Linked DNA regions of Oryctolagus cuniculus. The protein of the gene in region 7 interacts with the protein of the main gene of each other region in a biochemical or structural test. Links are inferred from orthologs where the notes say so. Each region holds a gene or a part of one and is shown on either strand. Other genes may lie near its edges. The genes, in order: AKT1, MAGI1, CHD8, GSK3B, TCF7L1, AXIN1 and CTNNB1.

Region 1 (3,500 bases), on a different chromosome or scaffold from region 7:
CGCCTGGAACACGCACACCTACAGTACACGCCCCTGGAACACGCACACCTACAGTACACACGCCTAGAACATGCACATCTACAGTACACGCGCCTGGAACACGCACACCTACAGTACACGCCCCTGGAACACGCACGCCTGCCACACGTGTGCCTGTAGCACGCACGCCCACAGCCGGGGAGCGTGTGCATTCCAGCACCAGCACCCTGGCAACCACGAGGGCCAGGTCTGCCGGGCGAGGGGCTGCGTGGGGGCCCGGGGCCCAGCCTGGTGGGAGGCGGCCTGTGTCTGTGCGGGCAGGAAGCTCACTCGGTCCTCCCACAAGGCAGAGCCCCTGGACACAGGCCCTCCGCACACACACGCTGGCTCTCGCCCTGGCCAGGCAGCGCCCCCTGCCCCCGGCTGGCGCTGCCCCCATGGGCTCCTCTGCAGAGGCCCCTCCTGCCTCACCCCCACAGCGGGCATAGCAAGGCTTCCAGGGAACTGGCCTGCGCCTCCTTGGTGGCCTCCGGCCCAGGAAGCTGGGCCTGAGGCCGGGGAGGGTGGCATTTGGGGCTCACGGGAATCCCCACGGCCAGGCCCCTCCTCTAGCACAGAGTGGGCCCCGGGAGGGATGACCCAGCAGCCAGTGCCGCAGCCCATCCCCACGCAGATGCCCACAGGCAGGGCGACGCCCAGGTCGAGCCACCTGTGCCAGACCTCCCTGCAGCCCCCAAACCAGAACCTGGGTGGCCCTTGAAGGCCAGGGGCCAGAGGACCCCAGGGTGCTGGCCAAGGAGAGGGAGGGGCAGAACCCAGAGGCCCACGGCTGGCAGGCCCATCGCCCCCAGCTGCCCCAGGCCAGCCCCAGGGCAGAGCTGGGCTGCCAGGTGGTAGAAAGTGGCAGTGGACCTGCCCGGCCCCAGCCAGCATCGTGGGAGGGACAACTGGGGAGCCAGGCAGGGGAAAAAGTGGCACTGGCCAGCTTTGAGGGTGCCCCCCACAGCTGGGAGGGGTTGTATGCAGGGTCCTAGGGCCAGCAGCCCTCCCCACCCAGGACCCCCCTGGGAGAGCCTGGAGGCTCCCTATAGCCCGAGCTGTCCCCTCTGGGCAGGAGGCTCAGGGAACAGCTCCACAGGACAGCCATGCAGCTTGGCCCAGGCCCCCGCCAGCCAGGGCTGGCCCCCAGTCCCACAGGGCACGGACCACTCCAGGCACCGCCCCACGTCCAACCCGGAGTGGCCGAGGGGACACTTACGTGCCACAGAGAAGTTGTTGAGTGGGGACTCGCGCTGCTCCACGTCCTGTGGCCGCTCCTTGTAGCCGATGAAGGTGCCATCAGTCTTGAGGAGGAAGTAGCGTGGCCGCCAGGTCTTGATGTACTCCCCTGTGAGGACACAGGCGGTGAGGGCCCCTGTCCAGGTCGCTGGCCAGCTACGCCAGGCAGAGGGTGGGGGACGGGAAGGCAGGCTCGCTGCGCCGGAAAGGGGCCAGGCCCACCTGCACACCTGGGACACGGGGAGGAGGCCTGGGCCCACCTACCTGGCCTTCCTGGAGGGGGAGGCAGTAGGTCAGCTGGTGCCCAGCTCAGGCACTGGCCGGGCACCCAGGCTCCAGGGTGTGGCTGCTGGCCTGAGCCGGCCTCCAGCCAAGAGGACAGAGCCTGGCACTGGCAAGGAAGGGCCAGCAGCACAGTCCTGGGGCCGAGGGCAGAGCTGCCGCCCACCCTGGGACAGCCCCTGGTCCAGGCGCGGGGGCCGACTCCCCCAGTACCGCGGCGCTCGGGGACACGGCAGATGCTCCGTGGAGCCGCGCTGCGCCATTTTTCACACTGACACCCGAGAAAACGCCTCATTTACATTTTGCCGAGCACAGAGTCTGAACGACAGGGAAGTTGCTAATTAGGCAGCTGCTTCACTGTGGGCTGAGAGCTGGGGACGACACAGGGACAGGCCACCCCCAGAGGAGCTCAGAGGACACGGGTCGGCAGGCGTCCCCTGGGCAAGGCACTCAGGGCAGTGGCCCTCCCTCCCCAGGTGCCCGGCAGCTGCCACTCTGCACCCTGGTCCTGGACACACTTGCAGATGGGACCCGGAAGCCCCGGGCTGGGCTGGGACCTGCACCCCAGCCACCCCCCTCACAGCCCAGGGCTCTAAGAGGCCCCCCCAAGCACCCCTGGGTGCTTACTGTGCCTGGACTGGGGTGGGCCTGATTCCAGCCAGCCCACCAGCAGGACCAGAGCAGTGGAGTAAGGCCACACCCCGATGCCCAGGGGGGCAGGCCAGCTAACAGGCCCCACCCCACAATGCAGGGGGCGGTCGCTCAGGTGCGGCGGGGGCTGCTTTGGGGGAAGGACAAGGTTCTGCCCCCTCATGAGGGTGCCCCCCACAGCTGGGAGGGGTTGTATGCAGGGTCCTGGGGCCAGCCGCCCTCCCCACCCAGGACCCCCCTGGGAGAGCCTGGAGGCAGCCCCCACCCCGCCCCGCCAGGCTGGGGCCACCGGGGCCTCTGGCAGGAGCAAAGGGCGACCCTCAGGGAAGAGGCTCCAGCCCACCACAGGCACCCCCTCTGGGCAGGTGGGGGCAGGCAGGGGCTCCAGGGGGCGAGCGGAGCGGGCTCTGGGGGCTGCACAGCCCCCCCGTCCCGGGCCGCCCGGCGCCGTGCCCACCCGCCTGCACGCCAGTCTGGAGCTGTCGGCCCCTGATGGAGTGCCTGCCATCCCACCAGCTGCCGCTCCCCAGGACGCTGAGCGAGCGGGGAGACTGATGAGCACCCGCGCGCGCCCCAGAAATCCATCTCGGTCCTGCGCCACACGGCACACACAGGGCCCCCACCCCCAGTGTCGGTGAGGGGGCTGCCCTCAGCACACAGACCCCTCCACGGGGGCCAGGAGCAGGCCGAGGGACACCTCTGCCTCTGCGTCCGGCCAGGCAGGCCCATGGGGACCCACAGTGCTCGCCGTGCCTGGGCTACAGCCCTCGTCTTAAGTTCAGCCAAAGCAACGTGGGACCTGAGACCCCCGGCCCCGCCAGGGTGGGGGCAGAGGCCACTGCACACCTGCAGACTGGCACCTGCCCACCCCGAGGTCCAGAGGGGCCTGGGCCTCTGGCAGGGAGCGACTGGCGCCCAGCGCAGGGTCTCCTCAGCGCCCCCCCCCCCCTTCAGACCTGTGGCGGTGCCAGGCTCCACCCAGGGCCTCTCCAGCAGGCTCAGCTGCCCTCTAGGCAGGTCCAGCCAGGCGCTGCCATCAGGAGGTGCAGATGCCCGGGTGGGACCCGCTCCCGCCCCACTGCTGGCCGGCCCACCTGCAGGACAGCCTGGAACCCAGCCCTGGGCTGGGAGCACAGTGGTGGCCCCTGAGGTGCTGCACGGAGCCCCAGGTCCTGTCCAGGCTCCAGGCCACCATGCCCGGGACAGGGAGAAGGGGATGGCTGCCCTTAGCAGGGTGACAGGGTTAGCTAGCTTCCTGCGACCCGGCCTGGGTCAGCTCTGGCCTCGGGGACACCACACAATGCTTGGGG
Region 2 (3,500 bases), about 22 Mb from region 7:
AATGGAAGCGGATTCAGCAAGATTTTCCCTCCACCAATCTAACTCCTCTGCCTCGACTCCAATTTCCAAGATGGCAATTCTCAGCTCCTTTTAAAATATGTGCAACCCATGTCCACCCTTTGCCAGACCTGATTCCCTTTACCGGCCATCTGACAGTTATAAAGTGACTGGTGGAGAGTTTAATTTTCACAACAACCATCTCCTGAAAAAGTCTGAATGAGATCACAACCACAGCAGACCATGTGTTGCCTTAAAAAAAAAAAATCACTCCTTCACTTTATTACACCTACTTCATGTTCACTTTGTCCTAACCAAGGCAGCACACGAGATGCCTACCTGAATTTTATATTTTTAAGTACTAGAGGTTAAAAAAATATGCCCGTTTTCCAACTGGTGTTCAAGTTTTCATAAATATTTTCCATCATACCTGATTAAGTCAAATGTAATGTGTGTGTGTGCGCGTGTGCACGTGTGCGCGCACGAGCGCTTCAGTATAAGCTGCTTTTGCATATTCATGTCTCTCCCGATTTCAAGCTCCTGACTAGAACAGACCCAGTTCTTCTGACTTTGTTTTTGAAGTCTCTCCATGGCACATAGAAAAAATGTATCTAAATTTACAGAGTAAATGTGGCGCTCTCAACCAGTTCTTGCTTTATTTTTCTGATTTCCTTCATTTGTTCCATTAGGAATCTATAGTCTCTCATCTTGCAATTGCTTCTGTACAGGGTAATAACTTTCCGGAGTGGTGAGTTGGTGGAAGGGCCCCAGAACACACCATAAGTTCCTATCCACAACTTAGCAGGAGGAGGGAGAAGCAGACCACCATTCAAGAATATGCATTTTCCCTTCACCACCAGTGTGCTATTTTTGACAAAGTTTTTTGTTCTTGAAATCAACAACTTTCAAATATTTATTCTGAAAGTAAATTCCTGGAAAGTCCTGATTAGACCACTCAATTTTGAACTATAAGGCTCATTTTCTTAAAACTAATATACAAAATTATTCATTTGCTGAATAACTTTCACTGATCTTCTCCTTCTACAGATCCTCAGCATAGACTTTTTATCACAGTATCCATATAAACCACATTTTCCTCTTGAGGAAATCATACTTTGAGAATTTTATTTTATAATATCTATAGCAAGAATGAAAAAAAGTGAACACTTTGGGACGAGTATTACTTTTCTCCCGAGGACAAAGTCATCTTAATATGAAGGTCAACATTCAGGGCTTAATTCTTCAAGGAATCAATACTTATAGCTTCATTTTTATTAGATTTGAATAAGAGGATGAATATTGCTATTTTGTGCTGCATAACATTTCTATGGGAAAAGATGTGGTCTGACCAACTGGATGTTATTGGCACCCACTGCAGATGAAGCCAAATGTTCCCTGGGAGGTAGAATTCCACAAATGCAAAAGAACCCCAAGTCTGAATTAACCACTCAAGCAAAAGAGCACCTACCTGGATTAACAGACAAAATGTATTGAAAATATATATATTTAATTCTTTCTCTATACATTTGGAACAAATCAAGTAGGCATAAACCCTAAGACGCTCCTATTAAATACAAACTATTATAATTCATTCATTCAGAAAAAAGAAAAAAAAACATAATATTGGCTCTGCCTTGCCATTAACTAGGTTTTGTGATGTCATCATATTATATAGCTCAATTTTAGCTTATTGTTTAAAAAAATCCATATCTGATTTCTAGAGAGAACATCAAGTGATATTTCCTACCTGCACTGAAACTATTCTATTGAACATCAAAACCAAAATAAATGGGAGAGAGCTGAAGAATTTATGCAACTTTGGCATCCGCAGTAAGTAAGGGTCATGGGACTAGAGGATTAATTAAATAAGAAGGTGAGCTATAGTTTAGTAACAATGGTTCATGTTTGTTTGATGGGTATGTTTAGTGAGGAGTGGGTAGAGCTGCTTCTATGTCAACACTATCCAATTACATTAACACTAATGAGAGAGAGACCTGGAGAGACACACACACAAAGAGAAAGGGAAGAAGCGGGGGGGAGAGAGAGGGAGAGGGGGAGGGATAAAAGGTAGGCTTTAGTATACTTTACCATCCCCAGGAATGATGCGAAGGGTAACCGTGTTTCCTGCTTCCTTGATTAGGTTGACAATGTCTGAATGGGATTTGTTGGTGATGGAACATCCATTTACTGCCAAGATCCGGTCTCCTACTTTCAGCTTGCCACAGCGGTCAGCGGGGCTCCCCTCAATAATCCGACCTATTTTGTGAGGCATAGCCACACATGCATTGCCTGCTTTGATATCGAGTTTTAATTGTTTTTAAAGTTACGTGGGAATATAGTGAAGGGAGGAGAAAAAGGGTTGAAAAGGGAAAGAGAAGGTTAAGTGTTAATTAATTAAAGCATTAAGCAAATGTTATTCAAAGGAGAGCTCGGCGCCCATGGTCCGAACATTGGCGAACTCCTGGCTAATAAGGAGTGCGTCCCCGAAACCAGACATCACGGCTGCAGTCTTTCCTGATTCAACATGGACGGAAAACCCCAGCTTCTCTCTTCACAGCAATTACAAAATTTGGGAAATCTGGCAACTTCGGAAATTCTCTCAAGAGCCCCTAAATAACTCAGCGCCAGCTTATTTTGGGACTGCCAATGTGAAACCCAGAGGGAGGCTGGCTGCCTTCACTCATTGTGTGTTCCCATCACTTCATTTTTGCCAGCTGTTGTGCAAGCTTCTGCCAATGTTTAGTTCTTTTTCCCTTTAGAAAAACAATCCCTGGTTCTGTGGTGAGGCATGAGAGTCGGCTAGCACAGAAAATTCCATCTGCGAACACCTGATGGGCAAACACTGGCACTTGGTACCTTCTCTCCAAAGCTTTAGGCAAAGGGCATCATGACAACAGATGCACCAAGAGAACACCTAACGTTGAACCTCACTTTTCCTTTCAGGATCTTTGCTCAATCAGCCCATCCTGGGTGCTTCCAAGGTAGGGCTGGATTGGCTCTCATCACCTCTGAAATCTTGCTCCTGCCTCGCAAAGATAACCTTAAGGGAAGATGAAAATCAAGTACCTGATTCACAGTAAGGTTCGAATAATTCCCCAACCCTTTCCCTCTCATGATCGTCCTTTTCATCACCAGTTACCATATGCCCACATTAAGAAAAACCAGGAAAAGGGCATCTGAAGAGGAAGGCTGATTGTGTGAGCACTCTGAGGCACTCAATGCTATTGTTAACTTCTAGAGAGTGGTGGGCAACTGGCTCTGCAGCCTGGCGTTAAGTTTCTAGCTGACCATACACTGAGTTTGAAAGCTGTTCATGCAGGTTCACTTATTTTGAGAATTTGCCAATCTGGGGGACCATGAAATCAGTTACGCAGTTGAGCCACCTTTTGGAAAGGAAAATAAAATTAACATGGAAGACCTAGAATCTAAATAGGTTCTTCCACCTTGAGGGTAAGTCTAGACCTTGAGGGTAAGCTGTATAGGAAAATACACTTTAATTCCTT
Region 3 (4,231 bases), on a different chromosome or scaffold from region 7:
TAAGGGGAAAAATTTGTAATGCAGGACAGAATTTAGACTGTAGCAAATGGTCAAACAAACTTTCAGGCAAAGAAAACTGTTCTTATAACACTTCTGTTACACAGGAATATGACTGTCAGTTTGGTTCTAGATACCAAGGGAATCATATCTTGAAAATCAGAATCTCTTTACATTCTTTAAAAGGTCTCACCTAGAGGCAGGCATTTGATACAGTGGTTAAGATGCCACATAGGACACCCACTGGGCTCCACTTCTGATTCCAGCTTCCAGCTAACATGCACCCTGGGAGGCAGCAGGCGATGGCTCAAATAGTTGGGATCCTGCCACCCATCTAGGAGTCCTAGATAGAGTTCCAGGCTCCTGGCTTCCTGGTTTCAGCCCCGGCTGTTGTGGAGATCTAGGGAGTAAACCAGTGGAAAAAATGTCTCTCTGCCTTTGAAATAAGTAAGTAAATAAAGGTCTGAGCTAAACAGGCAACAAAAGCACAATGTCAGTGAATGTTCAGTGACAGGACAGTCTATCAGTGAATCTAACACTAAAGGTAAAACGGTAAATACCAGTGTGGTCACAGTAGTACAAGGTCAGGTCATTCAACGACCTGAAGATAGGACTTGCTCAAATCCAAGTCCAGAAGTAGACCAACCAGAGGGTACAGACTCCAGAGAAATATTTGCCTTCAGTTTTTCTCCTAGGTGTTAGGTTCAATGAAAACTCAGAAGACAGCTTAACTCTTCCAGGGCTAATAGCAAACAGTATTGCTAAAGCATTTAGCATTCAACTCAGTGTTACAGGCCTTATACAGATGAGAATATCCAACTTCATCCTTTCCAAAACCAAGTGGTTTGGGCACCCACAGATTAATCTTAAGTGTTTAGAAAATTCTTATTCTTTTCAAAAATGTGTACAACGGTTTCTTTGAAAGAATGATCTTTCTTATCATCCTCCATTACCTATCAAAAACTCAATCCTTCTTATAAAGTCAATTTTTTTTCCTGTTACAATAAAATTCTGCAGTAGTATCACAATGCCAGAATTCCTCTACCTAATCATCCAGTGGTGCTACAGAGAAGGCCATCCTAGAACATACCAGATCTACATTTCCTAGTGATTCCCAACTAGTTAAACAAACGTATTTTCTATCCAAATCTAAATGGACTTTGTCTATCTGAGACCTGACAAAATCAAAAGATCAGAAAGCCAGGACGGACCAAATGTGGTTAAAGGTGTGAACTGTGTGGAGTACCCACCCCACACATTGCTCCCTCAAATCCCTACCCCAATGCATTACTCCTTTGCTGTTAGTTTTAAACCTCCCTCCAACGCTGTCTCTCCACACACATCTACCCTCTCTTTGGCAATGTCCTTCACCTTGTCTGGCAGGCCCACTGGCACTGCACGCTGGCAACAAAAGGTTTTCTTAAATGGCAAATGTTGCTTTTCTCCCAACTTCTTTTGAGGGCTGGGACAATTCCAAAATATTTGAATAAGAAGTTCTCCACTTCTGACCGTACAAGGTTGATCAGAATTTGTTCTGAAACCTACTGGTTGACCATTCCCAGAAAACCCTTCAACAGAAGATATTATCCAAATCACAAATTCACTTTCTAGTATCTGATGTGCCTCCATACCATAAGGGACTTCGGGCTACTGCCAAGGATAGCCCGAGACACTCGGACAGACTGAGGACATGGGAATGATCTGTGCATGCTGATGCGATGTGAGGGTGCAGCAGACGCTGCTCATGCAGCTCCCCTGGCTTAGGTGCAGGGCGCTCCACTCTCAATTCTTTAAAAGGAAATAGCATGGAGTCCTAAATCTGTGACTTCTGCCTCACTTCGCTCAGTCACCGAAGAAAGACTGGCCCACCATATATACCTCTTGTGCAAAGACCTCAGTGACTTCAGGGCCGCCCCTGAAGAGGCTTGAGCTGCTGCATTTGCACAGCTGCTGCAGTAGCAGACACTGGAGACAGGTAAATAAAGAAACTGCACCGGCTAGGAGGCAGGGGGAGGGGGCTTCTGCCGGTGAAGTTTATATAATGCAACAGAAAAGCAGTGAGCGCTGCAGACCTGTCAAGGGAGACCCGAGGCTTCAGCGGCTGTCTCCCCACCGTCTCCAAACACTCTCCGACAGCTTGCTCTTCACCACCCCACCCCACCCCCAAGACCCGGAGAAATCACTCCTACGCAAGAACAATAACCATCCACACGCGCTCACCTCAGGCTTTCCTACCCACCTTCATTATTAAAATACAAGAGAAGAAAAAAAGAAGAAAAAAAGAAAGCAGGAAAGGAAGGAGAACCCTAACCTCCCACTTCTGAGTTCAGAGTACGGAGTAACCAAACGGAGCCGGGGAGTTTTCCCTTCCTCGAACGGGGGAAGGAGAACAAGGCGCTGCCTCCGATCTGCACCACGCCCAGCAATGCAATGCCAAGCCCTAAAAACTCCACAGCGGCCCAAGCAGTCCCCTCGCGGCGTGGCCCTGCTCGGAGCCCGCGGCCCGGCAGCCGCCCTCTCCCCCAGCCTCTCACAAAGGAGAATGGTTCAGTCCAGAGCATCACCCAGCACCTGATCCCTCACAACTGGGAGACGGGGAGGGGTGGGGGGGGCGGGAGCCAGCGAAGTCATCCTAAGGACCTTCGCTTCTGCAAAAACTCCGGGAGCAGCACTGAGAAGTGGGTGTGAGCGGGAAGCCTACCTGAACTAGTCCGGGTTCCTCCTATCCACACTCAGCGTTTCAACTCACCCTCTCGGAGAACAAGGCGCCTTCCGGCGGAGCATGGCCAGCCCTCGCCTCAAGCTAGCTTGCTAGTAGTCCATTCTCCCAAGGCTCCGCCCACCTGCGCTCCCATCCACCAATGGCAGGGCCGGGGCCCAGCCTCTTCCAGCGGGCTAGGGTGAGCGCCATCCAGGAAGTCTCTTGAGAGTGGGAGGGCCTAGAAGGCTGAGTAGGGTACGTAGGCAGCCACGGATATGCCTGATTGGAAATAAAATCTGGCGGCAGATCGGCGCTGACGGCTCAGTTCACCGGCTGCCAGGCCTCTGGGCGTCCCTTTTTTTTTTTTTTTTTTTGGCCCCCGCCGTTGGGGGCGCTCTAACCTAAAACAACACTCAGTTGCCTGTTTCGGGGAAGCCATCTTGGATCGGCTGCTGCCTTGGGGCGGGGAGGGGGCAGGAGCGCCTTAAAAGAATGGGAAGGCCTGTTCGGCGTTCCGTCCCGCGCCTGAGCTCCGGACCCCGCACGCTCCTGCAGGCAGGATGTCCCGCAGTCGTGAGGAGGCGCTCTGGAATGATGCTAAACGTGGTTAGAGGCAGCCAGCGCTCGCCTCCCACCTATCTGTAGGAGAGAAGCGGTTTTATCAACGAGGCAAAAATTAATTCTTGGAATGAGGACGGGTGTGAACCAGTCTCTAGGGTAATTTTTTAGACACCTCATACCTCTGGGATTATCAACATATGACCGACATAGGTTGTGTATCTATTCTGGGAGTTTGCTTTACTTGCAAATTTTCCAGTGTTCTGACTTTGGCAATACAGAGAGCCCTGATTCAGGGAAGATTTTATTTACTTATTATTTAAAAGGTTTAAAACTCATCAATAGAGCCAAACTACTTGTGAATATAAATAAGGCAAATGATAAAGGATTTATGGGAAAAATTATACTGGTATCTAAGAAGGAGGACCGTTAGGTGACAACTTTAGAAACTGTGGCGCAGCAGAGCGAGTTAACGCCCTGGCCTGAAGCGGTGGCATCCCATATGGGCGCCGGTTCGAAGCCCAGGCGCTCCACTTCTGATCCAGCTCTGCTGTGGCCTACTCTGAGGTAGGCCCAAGTCCTTGGGCCCCTGCACTAGCGTGGGAGACCCTGAAGAAGCTCCTGGCTCCTGGCTTCGGATTGGTGCAGCTCTGCCCGTTGCAACCATTTGGGTGGGGGAGTGAATCAGTGGATGGAGGACCTCTCTGTGTAACTCAAATAAATAAATCTTAAAAAAAAAAAAAAAAAAAAACCTACTGGAGACAGCAATTTTCTAATAACTACTTTAAAATTGTAAGGGAGCCGGCGCCGTGGCTCAATAGGCTAATCCTCCACCTTGCGGCGCCGGCACACCGGGTTCTAGTCCCGGTCGGGGCACCGGATTCTGTCCCGGTAGCCCCTCTTCCAGGCCAGCTCTCTGCTATGGCCAGGGAGTGCAGTGGAGGATGGCCCAGGTGCTTGGGCCCTGCACCCCAT
Region 4 (4,078 bases), on a different chromosome or scaffold from region 7:
CATTTTCCGCTCTCTAGGCGAGGCTTCCCGGGGGCCCATTCTAATTGGCTCTTCAGGCCGATCGGCTTTTTCCGGGAGGAGCCGTAAAGAAACGACGCCCGTGATTGGCTTCGCTGGGGGTTCGGCTCCGCCGCCGAAGAGGGCGGGCGTTGGGCTCGGCCGGCGATTCCCAGACGCCTGTTACGCGGGCGGCGGGGCGCGGGGCGGTATAAGGCTGGGTGGGGGAGGAAGGAGGCGGAGGACGAGTAGGAGGCGGGGAGAGGGAGGGGGAGGGGGGAAGGCGCTAGGCGGCTGCGCAGACGGAGCTCCTCACACAGAGCAGCCCCCGACCCGGGCGAATGCGGGTTTGTGCTGCCGCTGCCGCTGCCGCCGCCGCCGCCCGGGCCGAGTGACAAAGGAAGGAAGGAAGCGAGGAGGAGCCGGCCCCGCAGCCGCTGACAGGGCTCCGGACTGGGGGCACAGCACGGACACTTCCTCAGCGGACACGGAGCTGAGGCGCGGGGCGTGAGGGCGGCCGCGCTGGTGCTTTGGACGGGGGAGGGGGCCCCGAGGGAGACGGAAGCGGTTGCCGGGTTCCCATGTCCCCGGCGTATGGGGAGCAGTCGAGGAGCCGCTGCCTGGGGTCTGAAGGGAGCTGCCTCCGCCACCGCCGCCGCCATGGCCGCTGGATCCAGCCGCCGCCTGCAGCTGCTCCTGGCGCAATGAGGAGAGGAGCCGCCGCCGCCGCCCGCCTCTGACTGACTCGCGACGCCGCCGCCCTCCAGGACGCCGGGCCCCCGCCGGATCCCGCCGCTGCCGGAGCCGCAGCGTTTCCCGTCGCATCTCCGAGCCGCCCCCTCCCTCTCCCTCCCTCCTTCCCATCCCCCCTTCTCTTCAAGCGTGAGACTCGTGATCCTTCCGCCGCTTCCCTTCTTCATTGACTCGGAAAAAAATCCCCGAGGAAAATATAAAATCCAAAGTACTTATTTTCAATCAAGTATTTGTCCCCATTTCACGTGATTTTTTTTAAGGAGTCCCCCCTCCCAGGAAAGGGAGGGGAAAGAATTGTGTTTTTTTTTTCCCCTCCCCCAGCCCCAAATCATCTATATGTTAAATATCCGTACGGATCCGTCTTGAAGGAGAATACATCGCTCGTGTTTTTTTTTTTTTTTTTTTTTTTTTTAATATAGCTATACAAAAGAAGTGAAAAGCCAAGAGGACGAAGTCTTTTTTTTTCCTTTCTTGTGGGAGAACTTAATGCTGCATTTATCATTAACCTAACACCCCAATATAAAACAAAAGGAAGAAAAGGAGGAAGGAAGGAAAAGGTGATTCGGGAAGAGAGTGATCATGTCAGGGCGGCCCAGAACCACCTCCTTTGCGGAGAGCTGCAAGCCAGTGCAGCAGCCTTCAGCTTTTGGCAGCATGAAAGTTAGCAGTGAGTATTGATTTTATTTTACACCCCTTCTCCGTCTCACCCCTAAAATAAGCAACCTCGAAGTCCTAGAACCTTAACATACTAGACCTGATGGAACACTCACCAGAGCTAATGGAAAAGAGCAAGACCTGTCTTCAGTCGAGGATGAGGCAGCTCCCTCTTTTCTCCTCCCATAACCCCCTCCCTCGGTCTCATTAACCTTGAGTTCAGAGAGTACGATTTTTATTTCGATGATTCGATTTGAAACGTTTCTTGTGCTTTCCTTGCTACTGATGGTCGCCTTTATCCAGTGCTTGGGTGTTTCCACTTGGAAATTGTGATGGAAGCGTTTGCTTGCCGACCCTTTTGAATAAAGAGGACTAAACGACTCATAAACCATTATGTGCATTTGCAGAGTGTTTGTCTTTTGGAACGAGGGAGGAAATTCTGGTTAGCTCAAGTCTCGGGTTATCACAGCTTTGTGTACTTCATGGAGACATGAAATGTCCCAGTCTCCTAACGTTTCTCTTCGTGCTGGTGTAACTATACAAAGTATTTGTTCTTAACCTGGGGATGAACTTGCTCAGTAACCAGCATTCATGTGTGGAGGTGATCATCGCTCCCTCCCTTTACAAGGGGCTGATGGGAACAGATAAATATCCAGCAGCAGTAGCATCTCCAAATACATTGTCTTGAATTGGATAAGTGGTTTAATCTGTTATCTCTTAACCTTCCTGTTTTGGCATTACCAATCTGCCACCATATAATTTGTTTAATCAAAAGGTAACTTGGAAGGAGGTCCAAGTTTTGATTGAGGCGTATGTTGTCATAATGCCAGATACTAAGTTAAATGTTAATTGTCACTGACTCATTGTCATTTAAGTTCAATTTTGACGTGCTGTTGCATTTGTTACTTGTTAAAATATTCTAGAGTACAGAGGATTCCTTTTTAGGAATACTTAAAATATCCTTGCATCAGTTTTCTTGTAGATAAGATTGAATTTAGTTAGAGGAACATAGATTTAGTCCTTTCCATCATAGTTTTTGCAGAAGGTTGTCCTTCTGGAAATGGTAGGGCTGTCTGGGATGTGGTCTCAGGGTTGTTACCAGACTGTACTTTCACAAAGTCTGTTTTCTTGAGGTGTTTGTTATACTAAGTATCCAGTGATCCCACAGAGCTCTGTTTGTGAAGGGGTTTGTGTGGCAATTAATGGCAGGTTATTTAAATATACTTCCAGATTTTGACAAAAAAAAATGTTTATATTGTTTCCTTATTCTCTGAGAAAGGGGCATGAAGAGGGCAAACTATTTTGTTGCCTAGAGGAGCTAAGAGAACTGAAGAGCCTTAAACAGTAGATTCTGTTATGTGGACTTGATTACATCCTTAAGCAATATAAAATGTTTACTTTTAATTGAACTCAAGATTCCAATCACTTTGGCTTTTGGAACTTGCCTGAAACAGGATAGTCCAAGGTAATAGCTGAATGGGAGATTATTTTTGAGTTAATTTTTTTTTCAGTGACTAGCTAGTAGAGAATGCAGAGTATGTAAAGAGGGAAGCTGATTATGCATCTTTTTAGAGAAGGGTCATGCTTTCTAAGCCCTTCATGGGGTCATTTGAAAGAAGTTTTTTATTCTGGGGGTAATTTTTAGCTATGATGAAGCAAATATTACAATAGCTAATTAAGAGCCTCTTGTGATACTGCAGTGATTGTATGTTTTACATCTTGGTAATAATTAAAAAACACTGAAAGTCAGTTTTAGGAATATAATTATTAGATGTATTTCAGAGATCTATAATGCTAGTGTATAATGCTAAATTCTGGGATTTTATATTTTGTTTCTAGGATTTTCTTTGAAGATGACTCCTTAATTCTTGATGGCATACATGTTGACCAAGAATGGTGTGATTTTTGTAAAGTATGTAGGTTAAAATGTTTGATTTTCTGTTATCATGTCCTTCAACTTAATATTTAAAAAGTTGGAATTTATTGCTGAATATGCATTTTTGATAAGCCTAGCTTTAGGGATATTTAGAAGAAAGGGGAGTCATTAGGCATTTGTTAGGTGCTGGTGTTTTCAGGACCCATGTTCAAAAGAGATACATATGAAATTATAGTCCTTGGCTTCAAAAAAAGCTGGTCACTTAGTAGTAGAGGCAATTTATGGGAAAAACAATGAAAACAATGGCATTACGACTGCAAGGCAAAATACAAATTGAATCCTTTGTTCAGAGGGACAAAGAATAAAGGGGTGAGACATGCATTGGAGGGAGAAGGCTTCCTGTAGAGAAGGTGTGCTTTTAAGACAGGTGTTAAAGAAGGCTGTGTCTTGAATTGGTGGAGAAGCATGAAAGATTCTAGGTGAAAGGACTCCAGGCACAGAGATGGTGAGTTTTGTAGGAGAGGCAATAAATAAGCTGGTAAATCTGAATTATAAAAGCCTAAGTAGGAAAATAACAGGTAAAATTTGAGAAATATTGGAAGGATAGCTGACAGAGGGCAAGGGGTCTGAAAAAGTTTGACATTCATGAGAGCTCTGAACAGTTTTTTTTTTTTATAAACTTTATTTATTTTAATTTTATTGGAAAGGCAGAGAGACAGATCTTCTCATCTGCTGCTTCACTCCACAAATGGTCACAACAGCCAGGGCTGGACCAGGCCTAAGGCAGGAGCTGGAACT
Region 5 (3,997 bases), on a different chromosome or scaffold from region 7:
ACCAGGGCACAAGACAGAGCTATAGGAGCGGGATGCTAAGTCCTCAAGAGAGGGCATGGTGGGTGTCGTGACTGCCCCAAAAGGGAGGATGACGACACTGGTCGGGGCAGGGAGCAGTTGCATGGATGAGTGAGGACGCAGAAAAGAAGGCTCGGCTTCCCCAAGGAGGGTCTCCAAATCCCACCCAAGCCAGGATCTGACAACCAGGAATTCCATTGCAGCCATCAGGGGAGTGAACCAGCAGATGGAAGAACTTTGTCTCTCATACTCGATGTCTGGAACCCTACCTCTCCAATAAATAAATAAAATCTTTAAAACAAAGAAATAAAGAAAATGTTTCACTTGGACTGTTTGACCGCGGGGCAGCAGACAAAGCAGTTGTCGCAGTCATGGTCCTAGATGTGAACTAGAAAGCTGGGAAGAATAAAACGCCCTCAAGGGAACCGGGTGTTAGAGGAACAACCTGCTGCAGAGGGACAGTCACAGCTGGCGACTTCCCCATCACTGGGACCTGGCTCAGGGCTCACACCCAAAGCTGGTGCTTGCTGGTCCCTCTCCACCCCCCTCACTCCCCGCTTCCTTCCTAATGGTAAACGTTAAAGCGGCATCTTAGCGGCACAGCTCTCCCCGCAGCCCCCAGCCCAGAAGTTTCAGCAGCTCTCCATCACCATTTGCAGGCACCAGTACCATAGCTGCCACAGCCTGTTGGGTTCCACTTTTAGGTGCACTTCTTTTCATCCGATTGGGAAAATGCAACAGCCCTTAGGCCCAAATGCAGCTTTCGCGAAAAAACGACACACTCAGAACTTCCCGGGATGCCCCAGTCCAGCAGGCCAAAGCGGTGCGGGCCATGTTGTACCACCCACTCGCCCTCCAGCAGAGCTTGTTCCCACACCCTGTCTTGCAACAAGAGCGCCTAACAGAAACCCGTCCCCGCGCCCCCCAACCGAGAATGGACTGGCACGGGCCCTGAGAAGCAAGGTGCGGAGCGACCCAGCGGCAGGACTCCGGCGCCGGGCGCACAGTGGGCAGGCGCTCACCCAGTTATCAGCCGTCGGCCCCAGCACCTGGGCAGGGAGCCTAGGGACGGGTTGGCGGCTCCGGGGACACAAAGGCTTCGCCCGTCTCAAGCTGTGCCCCTCGCAACGCGGGGGGCGGGAGTCGAGCGCCTGAGAGGGGGCGAAGGAATCCGCCCTCATTTGCACGTCGTCTGGGGCCCGGTCAATTTGCTTAATCACCGCTCTAAATGCCAGCGCGCAGCACACAATGCGCGCCCATTAACAGGTTTAAAGTGTCCCAGCGCTCGCTTTAAATGAGAAAAGCCGGCAACAAAAGGGGGAAAAAGCCAAGTTCCTCAACTTGAAGAATGCTTCGGGTCGCCCTCGGGATTCTCTCGGCCAGTTTAAAATCCAGGGCTCCGCCGCAAAGTTGAGGCCCCGGCAGCGAGGGCTTGGGGGCGGGAAACGGGGTTGGGAATAACCCGCCACCACCACCGGGTTTCTTAGGAACCAGCTCACAGCCACCCAGTGAACTCGGGGAGCCGAAGCAGCGTCGCCAGCCCGGCTTCCCCAGCCCCCTGCCCAGCTGCCAAGGAAAGCTGACCGAGTTCTAGAAAGGAAAACGAGACCCCCAAAGCAGACACTAAACCCAAGCTCTCCTCTGCGGCGGGCGGACTCCCAGAGGTCAAGGAGGATCCCACAGGTGGGGCCCCATAGCCTCAGCCCGCAGCAGGGGAGAAGTTACAGCAACTTTCCTTCCATCCAGGCAGCGGCCAGCGCAGCCGCCCCAGAGCCGCGCAACTCCGCAAACAAGTTCTGCCCGCGAGCGGCGCAGGAGGCCCCATCCCCCACGCCACGGCCGGGCCGGGGGCGCATCCCACCGGCCCAGGTCCCCAGCCGCCCCGGCGCAGCTTGACCGACGCTTACCGTGCGCGCTCCTCCCGGAGACAGGGGTCCGTTGGAGAGGTAGGGGCTGCTCAGGTCCGGGATCATCAGGAAGGGGTACCCAGGGTAAGGGGGGCCCTTGAAGAACGCGCCGTCCTGGGGCCTTCTCACTGAGGACAAGACCAAGGTGGGGTGAGGCCCGGGTCCCCCGGACAGCGCCACGGCACGAGGAATCCCACCCCCGCCCCGCAAACCCAAGCGCCCCCGACGCGCGATCCAAGGAGGCCGCAGGGCAGGGACTGGTCACTCCTGCAAGGGGAGCGCGGGCCGCGCGAACCGAGGTGCGCGGCGCAGCGGCGCCGGGAGTCGAGGCTGGCCAGCCGGGCACGTACCTTCGGCGAAATAGTCCCGCGGCTTCTGGAAAGCGTCCCGGGAGGGCTGCGGGCGCCTCTCCGCCTGCGGAGGAGACACAAAGGCGAGGGCGGGTGAGCGAGCGCTGGGCCGGGGTCCCCCGGGGGCCGGCCGCGGGCGCCTCCTTACCTCCGAGTCCGAGCTGCTGCTCTGGTTCTCCGACTCATTGACCAGGGACGACTTGACCTCGTCTAGGTCCCGCTGCGCCGAGGCGCTGTCGCTGCTCGGCTCCTGCTCCTCGCCCCCCTCGTCCTGGAAGGGGATCAGCTCGTCGTTCGCTCCGAGGTCGTCCCCTCCGCCGGCCGCACCGGCGCCCGAGCCGCCGCCTCCCCCGCCGCCGCCGCCGCCGCCACCGCCGCCGAGCTGGGGCATGGTGGGGCCGCGCGGGCCGGGGCCGCTGCTCTCCGAGCCCCTGGCCGCCCGCGCCCTGCCCGGCCCGGCCCGGCGCCCCTCCTTCCCGCTGGCCGGCCCGCTCCGCTCCGCTCGCCGCCGCCGCAACAAAGTTTTGACAGGGCGTGGCCCCGCGGGAAGCGGGCCCGGCGCTGCCCGGCCGGGGCGGGGGCGGCTCGGCTCGGGCCCCTGCGGCAGCGCCGAGCCTGGGGCTCCCCAACTCGCCGCCGCCTGCTCCGCCGGGGCGTCCCAGCGCCTGGCCCGCCGGGGAGGGGCGAGCGGGGAAGGAGGGAGGGACCGCGCGGCCGGCCAGGGGGGCCGGAGGGAGGAGCCCGGCTGCAAGCTGACACCCGCGCGCCCGCGGAGCCCGGAGAGCCGGCGCGCACACTGGCGCTCGCCCTGGCTCCCCGCTCGCTTGCACCTTCCGGGGGCTGCGTCGACCGCGCCGGCGCCCCCTGCCCGCCAGCCCCAGAGCCCGGACGGCCCCGTCCCCGCCCCTTCGCAGCCCCTCAACTTTCTTGCCAAGAGCCCCCAGACTTCTGCGCGAAGTCGCGCCCCTCCCGCCGTCCGAGCGGCCGGCACTGCCCCCTGCGGGAAAGCCTCGGCCGCGCAGATCCGCCCCAGCGCCCGGCGTCCCGGGAGCGCGGGGTCCCGGCAGCCCCGGGCGCCGCCGCCGGATGCGCAGAGCCGGGGACGGAGGAATTCCTGGCGCTCGGGAACGTGGCGGGCGGCCTCCCGCCCCCACCCACCTTTCCTGACGGGGTCTCAGCGCGCCCCGCGCCCCAGCCCGGCTTTCCCACTAGATCCGGGTTTCCAGTCAGCCTCGATGAGGTCCCCAAGATGACTCTTTCCTCTGTGGTTGGGAATTAAGTCCTAAATCGAATAATCGCTCTCTTGGGTTTAGAAGGGATTCGAATTCGCTTCATTACGAGGTAGAATTATCTGACCAGTGACTGCCGAAGCCGTGTACTTGGCTAACTCGGCAGCACGTGAACGTGAAGGAGGCTGCCCAGACGGCTTCCAGGCAAAGAAACGCTGTCACAATGAATGATAGTAAGATACCAACCCTCTGCAGCCAGTTCGGAAAGTCTGAACAACACTTTCCCTCAACCCGCACTAGCCTTGCTCACCGGCATCTGTTGCTGAGAGCAGACTGGAAGGCAGCGGGGGAAGAGCCGAGACCGCTCCAGACCCAGCCGACAGAGAGGACTTCCCTGCGCGTGGAGAGAGCCAGGTCACTCCGAGGGAGACAGGGAAAATGAACCCTGTGACTTCCTTACAGTGAGAATCCACGTGGAACCACCCAGGCAGAA
Region 6 (2,662 bases), on a different chromosome or scaffold from region 7:
CTCCCAGTTTCTGGACAGCGGGGGCGAGCTGCCCGCCCCCACCGAGGAGCCTGCAGCCCCCGTGCCGGTGGGCACCCCCGCCCAGGGGTCCAGGCCTCACCCTGAGCCCTGGCCCGGCAGGCAGGCAGGCAGGCAGGCAGGGCAGCGCTCTGAGCTGGCCTCTCTGCCTCTCTCTTCTCTAGGAGCCACCGGCCAACTCCACGGTGGAGCCCAAGGAAGAGCTGTAGGCGGCCTGGCCCCCTCCGCACCCCCTCCCGGGGCGGCCCGGCCCCCTCCGCACCCCCTCCCGGGGTGGCCTGCTCCCAGCTGTGAATAAAGAGGTTGAGTTCTGGACGTGTGCGTGGTTCCTGGGCCCCTGGGCAGAAGTCGAGCCAGGCCCAGGGGGTCCCTAGTCCAGAGCCGGCCACTGCGCCCCAGGGTCCCCCCGCTGTGCCAGGAGCTGGCCAAGGACGTGTGCCCTCAGCAGGCCCCTGCAGCGAACAGGTGTGTTCCACACCAGAGCAGGTTCAAAAACTTTTATTTCATTATTATCCAAGTACCTTTGAAAAGACCATTGTACAAGTCAGCGCATGAAAAACGGGCCTGGGAACTGTACATATTTACACGTGGCCAGGGGCTGCAGGGCCGGCTCCGGCGCGGCTCTCACAGTGGCAGGCGAGAGACGGCTGGCGGAAGGCACTGGGTGGCACGTACAGTCCAGAGACGCGCGGGGACTCCTGGGCCGGGCCAGCCGAGCGGGGACACCAGTGGCCGGCCAGACTCTCCGAGTATTGCTATGGGAAGTGGATGGGCCCCTCCTGGGGCCGCACGGGGCAGGCGGCTGTTCGTCAGCCAGACGCTGGCTGCACACAGGCAGCTCCTGGAGGGCTTCCGGGAGGCGGCCGCCCCGGCGCGGGCTCAGTCGACCTTCTCCACCTTGCCGACGACCTTCTCCTCGAAGACGGGCAGCACGGCCTCGTCTTCGCGCACCTCCTCGAACACCACTCCACAGTCGAACTCGTCACTCACCTTCTTGAAGTAGTATCTGTGGGGGCGGGGCGGTGAGGGCGGAGCCCGGCAGGAAGGGGCCTGCGGGTGCCCAGCCCGGGGTGGAGGCCCTGTCCCTGAGCCCGCGGCCTGCTGCCCGGGGCCTGGTGCGCCCTCGGTTCCTGCAAGGCCTGCTCAGGGGCCGGTCGTGGGGGACAGGCTGGACCTGGAGGCCACGGGGCTGGCCCGGGTCAGAGCACACAGGACCGCAGCCCCACGCCTGAGCCTGTGCTCCCACCTTCAAGAGGAGAGCCCAGAAGTGGGCGCGGGGGCCCTCAGGCCCCGTCCTGCAGCTGCTCCGTGGGAGGCTAAGTGGAGGAGGGGTCACCCCAGCCCCTTCGAGGCTCACCTGTAGCTGCCCTTCTTGGTCAGCAGCTCCTTGAACTGGCCCAGGGTGACAGCACGGCCCCTGACCAGGGTCCGGTAGGGGATGGGCTCCCCGCAGAAGTAGTACGCCACCACGATGCTGTCGCACGCCTGGCTGCCCCCGCCGGCCCCCTTCCGCTGTGACTTCGTCCTGAGGGCAGAGACGCTGGTGACCTCTGGGCTGTCGGGGCTGCATGGGTGCCACCCACCCCCGCAAGGCACAGATGGCCGGGGCGAGCACGCCGTGGCCCCCGCGCCCAGCTCGCTCCCCCCGTCACGTGGACACTCGTGCGCAGCTTCCCAGGCCAGGAGGCAGGGGTCCACCCGCTCTGGGTGGAGGGTGGGCTGTGCTACCCGGCAGCCTCACGCACGACGTAACCGCGCCTGCCCCACAGCAGAGGGCCTGCTGCCCGGGCCGACAGCCTGACCGCTGGCTGCTGTCTCCTGTTCCCAGGCGAGAGCTGTGCCCTCACTGGGCCCGGCCCCTCCTCCTGCTGGGTGCACCTGAAGCTTCTAGGGCCCGAGTCCTGGCCGTCAGGCCGCGAGGGCCCCCTCCACCCTGTCCGCTTCGCAGGCCTGGGACCTTTGCCCAGGGCTGGGTTCAGGAAGGCCGCGCAGGGCGAACCCTGGAGCAGAGGCTCTGAGCGCACGCAGCAGCCCCTGGGCCTGGTAGGGGTTTGTCAAGGGTCAGCGTGGTGAGGCCCAAGGCTCAGGGGACGCCCACATGGAGGCCCTCTCGGGGCGACCCCAGCCCGCGGCTGTCTTGAAAGGCGCAGGCACGCCCGGTGTCTGGCCGGCACCACCTGCGGCAGCGGTCCCAAGCTCCCCCTGGCCGCAGGCCCCGCCGTGTTCCAGACGGGCAGAGCGCGGTCTTCGGTCAGGCAGGGCTGGGAGGCTGCTGAGACGCCCGCATCGGCCAGAGGCCTCCCGTCACCCCGTGGCCGCTCGTCACGGGTGGAGACGGGGACGGCTCTGGGGCGGCCTGAGGCCTGACCCCGCGGGGGCTCCTCCAGCCGCAGCCGCTCCGTGTCCCCGGAGCAGCAGCACAGGCCCTGGTGGGAGAGCCCTGGGGCACACGTACTCTGTCTCGGAGAGCTCCGTGTCCGACACGGCTGGCACCACGCTCAGCACAGGCACACACGCGGGCCTGGCGCAGCTGCGACCCCGCTGCATGACCTCCTGCACATGCCTAGGGAACAGCCCGTGTCAGCGGGGACGCGCCCGGTGACGCCACGCCTCCTTCCAGGCCACGGTGGGGCCAGAGGCCCCA
Region 7 (3,500 bases):
AGAGCAAGCTGCCTTCCCTGCTCTACAGGCTCCAGTTCCACGTGCGGACACAGCTGCCCACCTCATTCCAAGCCATTGGCTCTGTTCTGAAGAGAGAACTGGTCAGCTCCACCGAAAGCCTCTTCTTATAATCCTGTGGCTTGTCCTCAGACATTCGGAACAAAACCGCAGCGGCGTACGTGGCTGGGAAAGGACAGAAACAAAAGGTCCTTAAGGAACAGGTGAGACTTCACCATACACGACAGCCACCACAGCCCTGGTTCTTTTTCTACTCACCAACACCTTCATTCCTAGAGTGAAGCAATTCTGTCAAAGGCGCTGTGGCTCCCTCCGCTTCAATCGCTTCTGCAGCCTCCTTGTCCTGAGCAAGTTCACAGAGGACCCCTGCAGCTACTCTTTGGATATTTTCAATGGGAGAATAGAGCAGCTAAAGAGAAAACACAAAACCTAATGAAAACCCAGAGTTAAAACACAGGCTATAGTCCCAATGTTTTCCTTTCTACTGACCAAAAAAATGGGTGTGTGAGGGGGCAATTTTCATAAAATTAAATGTTAGTTCCCCTATCTTTCTGGTCCCTAATTTTCTGAAACACAATGAAATTTTAGACATGTAAAATCTAGAACACCTCATTTAAAAATCAACATACCTGCACAAATAGTGGAATGGTATTTAGTCCTCTGATTACAATTCGGTTATGAACATCCCGAGCTAGGATGTGAAGGGCTCCCGTACAACCTTCCACTATTTCTTCCATGCGGACTCCCTCCTACCAGAAGAAACATGGTTAACCAACAGGACAGTCTTCTCTTTAAAGTCTGTAAATGGTTCTGAGCAGCAATTACTAGACTACAGTTGCCCAAAGCTCCCCGTAATTTTTGGTTAGTGCAGGAATAAAGGAGGATTCCCATTCACCTGAATGTCACCAAAAGGAGGCTTCCTAGTGGCACTACTGGTAAGCAACACCCCTCTGTGATACGCAAAGTATAGTCGGCCTTGTATCCTTGGGTTCCAAATCCACATTCAATCAACTACAGACCAAAACTATTAAAAGGAAAAAAACCTGCATCTACGGTGAACTATTTAGACTTTATTGTTTAGGGAATTATAAAGAGAACAAAGTATAACAATGATTTATACTATACTGATAATATAAGGAATCTGGAGATGACTTCAAATATATAGGAGGACATGCATTACTTGAGCATCTGTGGGTTTTGGTATCCAGAGAGGGTCCTGGAACCAATCTCCTTCAGATACTAAGGGCTAACTGTACAATTCCCATGGACCTCTGAATCCCAAAGTAACTTTCTTACAAAAGGGCACTGATCATTTTGACTAAAAAGTATATAAACAGAGAAGATACGTGGATGGGAAGTGATGTTCAAACTATGTTTTTACGGCATGTGCCCCTTCTAGTCCTGTATGTTTACATGTATTTGGTGAACAAAGTTTCATCACAAGAAACCCTACTCTGCAGGCGATTCTCCTACGGCCATTCAACAGATAGCCTGGATGTGAAGAAGGATGTTAGCTTCTACAAATGAAGTACCATCTGCTTCCTGTTTGAGTGGTTTTTCTTTCCGTTATCATTCTAATACTTTTAGTGGCGTTTTAAAAATAGAAACTTGACTTTTCGTGAGGACACAAAATCTCTGAGATTCAAAAAACCAGACAAGATATTCTTTGGCATTCTATTAAGGCACTCTATGGAGATGGGCTAACACCAAAAGCAGTGAACAGAAAGCCAAAGCCGGAGTGCAAATGAGTGCACACGCACACAGACCTACTGGCAAAATGGGATTATCAAACTCTGTCCTGGTAAGGTCCATGTTTCTTATTTAAAGGAGCCTAATTAGAGAAAACTTTTAAAAGGTTTGAGTCTTTAAAAAAATGTCTAAAAGGTGAGAAGTGTCCTTGTTTAACTACATGTGTAGTATGTGTTTTAATAGTCAACATCACAGCTTTAGGCTAAAAATATTATGGATCAAGACTGCATAAATGCTACTACTTATTTTGAATTCAGTATTACAGTTTTAAGTTCATGAAAACAGTTGTTAAAACTCTCATGGAAGAGAGAGTAAAAAGGCCTGTCAAATACTTTGGTGCAAAACTCAGCTTATAGTGGGGGATAAGAAACTCTTCCATCAGAGAGACTTCTATTCACAGTATGACTCAACTAGTACACTTCCTTCCTGAAGAGGTGAGCCTGTGTTGGGTGAGTACCAGTACTTCCAAACTCAAAGGCTGATCATGCATAGCACATGCCTAAGCAGCATCAGTGAGGTCCACAGGATCTCTGCTCCCACACAACACTGTCAGGTTTTTTAGCCATTCACACTCCTCTCAAGAAGGGCACTGGCAGAGCCAATAAGCCATGTAGCTCAGGATCCTCTGGACTTAGCTGGCCCTTTCTACCAAGATTCACCTACCACAAACTGCTGCTGTGTTCCACCCATGGATGTGCGACGCTGGGTATCCTGATGTGCACGAACCAGCAACTGAACTAGGCGTGGAATGGCACCCTGCTCACGCAATGGTGCATGATTGGCTGGACAAAGGGCAAGATTTCGAATCAATCCAACAGTAGCCTGCAGGTAAGAAAAATACAACTCAACACAATCATTTTCTTACCCGAAGTTTCCCACCACACTAAATCTATACGCCAACACTTCAGAATCCTACCTGTCCCCAGCCACATTTATTACTAAGAAATGTAATTCCTATTTATCAACCCCTTGGCGTAGATATCCATCCTATAGTTAGAGGCAGGTCATTTCCAGTTCAGCAGCATTCTACCTTGTTGATGTTTTACCTTTATCAGAGGCCAGTGGGATGGCGGGTGCAGGAGCTTCACCACAACTGGCAGTCCATAGTGAAGGCGAACAGCATTCTGGGCCATCTCCGCTTCCTGGTGTCGGCTGGTCAGATGACGGAGAGCACAGATGGCAGGCTCCGTGATGTCCTCCCTGTCCCCAGCACGAAGGACGGTGCGCACAAGAGCCTCTATACCACCCACTTGGCACACCATCATCTTGTTCTTATAATTATTGCAAGTGAGGTTAGAAAGAATTCCGGCTGCACAGGTGACCACATTTATATCATCTGAACCCAGAAGCTGAACAAGAGTCCCAAGAAGCCCTTCCATCCCCTCCTGTGGAGATAAAAACAGAGGCTTGGTACACATTCCCTTTGATTTCATCACAAAAGCACAGTTTCCTTAGGATTTACCTGTTTAGTTGCAGCATCTGAAAGATTCCTAAGAGTCCAAAGACAGTTCTGAACGAGACGTTGACTAGGATCGGTCAGGTGAAGTCCTAAGGCTTGCATTCCTCCTGGACAATTACAAAGCAGATACGGCAGTGGCTAGTAGGCTCAACATCCCCATCAGTCCTAAACACCCTCTGTAGTCCCTCCCTGAGTGTTTATATCCGGTCCCTTTCTATTCCACTTTATTTCATTAGTGACATTCTGTCAAACAGCTACTGTTCCCTTCCTCTCT

Evidence for each region.
Region 1: of the proteins of CTNNB1 (region 7) and AKT1, one has a biochemical effect on the other in vitro, tested with the Homo sapiens proteins (2 studies listed by BioGRID). The link is inferred for Oryctolagus cuniculus from reciprocal best matches to the Homo sapiens genes CTNNB1 and AKT1.
Region 2: the proteins of CTNNB1 (region 7) and MAGI1 form a complex in vitro, tested with the Homo sapiens proteins (2 studies listed by BioGRID and IntAct, with this or other methods). The link is inferred for Oryctolagus cuniculus from reciprocal best matches to the Homo sapiens genes CTNNB1 and MAGI1.
Region 3: the proteins of CTNNB1 (region 7) and CHD8 form a complex in vitro, tested with the Homo sapiens proteins (3 studies listed by BioGRID). The link is inferred for Oryctolagus cuniculus from reciprocal best matches to the Homo sapiens genes CTNNB1 and CHD8.
Region 4: of the proteins of CTNNB1 (region 7) and GSK3B, one has a biochemical effect on the other in vitro, tested with the Homo sapiens proteins (11 studies listed by BioGRID and IntAct). The link is inferred for Oryctolagus cuniculus from reciprocal best matches to the Homo sapiens genes CTNNB1 and GSK3B.
Region 5: the proteins of CTNNB1 (region 7) and TCF7L1 are reported together in a solved structure, tested with the Homo sapiens proteins (2 studies listed by BioGRID, with this or other methods). The link is inferred for Oryctolagus cuniculus from reciprocal best matches to the Homo sapiens genes CTNNB1 and TCF7L1.
Region 6: the proteins of CTNNB1 (region 7) and AXIN1 form a complex in vitro, tested with the Homo sapiens proteins (2 studies listed by BioGRID). The link is inferred for Oryctolagus cuniculus from reciprocal best matches to the Homo sapiens genes CTNNB1 and AXIN1.

Annotation. Positions count from the first base shown.
Region 1 is NC_091451.1:46,976,398-46,979,897, forward strand, and holds part of AKT1 (RAC-alpha serine/threonine-protein kinase), read right to left. Parts: intron 1,367-3,500; coding exon 1,238-1,366; intron 1-1,237. UniProt on the Homo sapiens protein: AKT1 is one of 3 closely related serine/threonine-protein kinases (AKT1, AKT2 and AKT3) called the AKT kinase, and which regulate many processes including metabolism, proliferation, cell survival, growth and angiogenesis.
Region 2 is NC_091441.1:84,208,541-84,212,040, reverse strand, and holds part of MAGI1 (membrane-associated guanylate kinase, WW and PDZ domain-containing protein 1), read right to left. Parts: intron 2,290-3,500; coding exon 2,086-2,289; intron 1-2,085. UniProt on the Homo sapiens protein: Plays a role in coupling actin fibers to cell junctions in endothelial cells, via its interaction with AMOTL2 and CDH5. May regulate acid-induced ASIC3 currents by modulating its expression at the cell surface.
Region 3 is NC_091443.1:53,484,804-53,489,034, reverse strand, and holds the start of CHD8 (chromodomain-helicase-DNA-binding protein 8), read right to left. Parts: upstream 2,801-4,231; 5' UTR 2,699-2,800; exon of another isoform or gene 2,477-2,698; intron 398-2,476; 5' UTR 231-397; coding exon 191-230; intron 1-190. UniProt on the Homo sapiens protein: ATP-dependent chromatin-remodeling factor, it slides nucleosomes along DNA; nucleosome sliding requires ATP. Acts as a transcription repressor by remodeling chromatin structure and recruiting histone H1 to target genes.
Region 4 is NC_091435.1:76,548,021-76,552,098, reverse strand, and holds the start of GSK3B (glycogen synthase kinase-3 beta), read left to right. Parts: upstream 1-1,278; 5' UTR 1,279-1,329; coding exon 1,330-1,417; intron 1,418-4,078. Other genes in the region: transcription factor SOX-4, read right to left, coding at 1-917. UniProt on the Homo sapiens protein: Constitutively active protein kinase that acts as a negative regulator in the hormonal control of glucose homeostasis, Wnt signaling and regulation of transcription factors and microtubules, by phosphorylating and inactivating glycogen synthase (GYS1 or GYS2), EIF2B, CTNNB1/beta-catenin, APC, AXIN1, DPYSL2/CRMP2, JUN, NFATC1/NFATC, MAPT/TAU and MACF1.
Region 5 is NC_091433.1:117,471,410-117,475,406, forward strand, and holds the start of TCF7L1 (transcription factor 7-like 1), read right to left. Parts: upstream 2,801-3,997; 5' UTR 2,667-2,800; coding exon 2,424-2,666; intron 2,340-2,423; coding exon 2,276-2,339; intron 2,054-2,275; coding exon 1,926-2,053; intron 1-1,925. UniProt on the Homo sapiens protein: Participates in the Wnt signaling pathway. Binds to DNA and acts as a repressor in the absence of CTNNB1, and as an activator in its presence.
Region 6 is NC_091450.1:34,342,523-34,345,184, reverse strand, and holds the end of AXIN1 (axin-1), read right to left. Parts: intron 2,582-2,662; coding exon 2,474-2,581; intron 1,544-2,473; coding exon 1,376-1,543; intron 1,025-1,375; coding exon 898-1,024; 3' UTR 501-897; downstream 1-500. Other genes in the region: PDIA2 (protein disulfide-isomerase A2), read left to right, coding at 1-67, 183-227. UniProt on the Homo sapiens protein: Component of the beta-catenin destruction complex required for regulating CTNNB1 levels through phosphorylation and ubiquitination, and modulating Wnt-signaling.
Region 7 is NC_091441.1:106,476,750-106,480,249, forward strand, and holds part of CTNNB1 (catenin beta-1), read right to left. Parts: intron 3,334-3,500; coding exon 3,230-3,333; intron 3,153-3,229; coding exon 2,814-3,152; intron 2,590-2,813; coding exon 2,431-2,589; intron 768-2,430; coding exon 648-767; intron 428-647; coding exon 277-427; intron 184-276; coding exon 62-183; intron 1-61. UniProt on the Homo sapiens protein: Key downstream component of the canonical Wnt signaling pathway.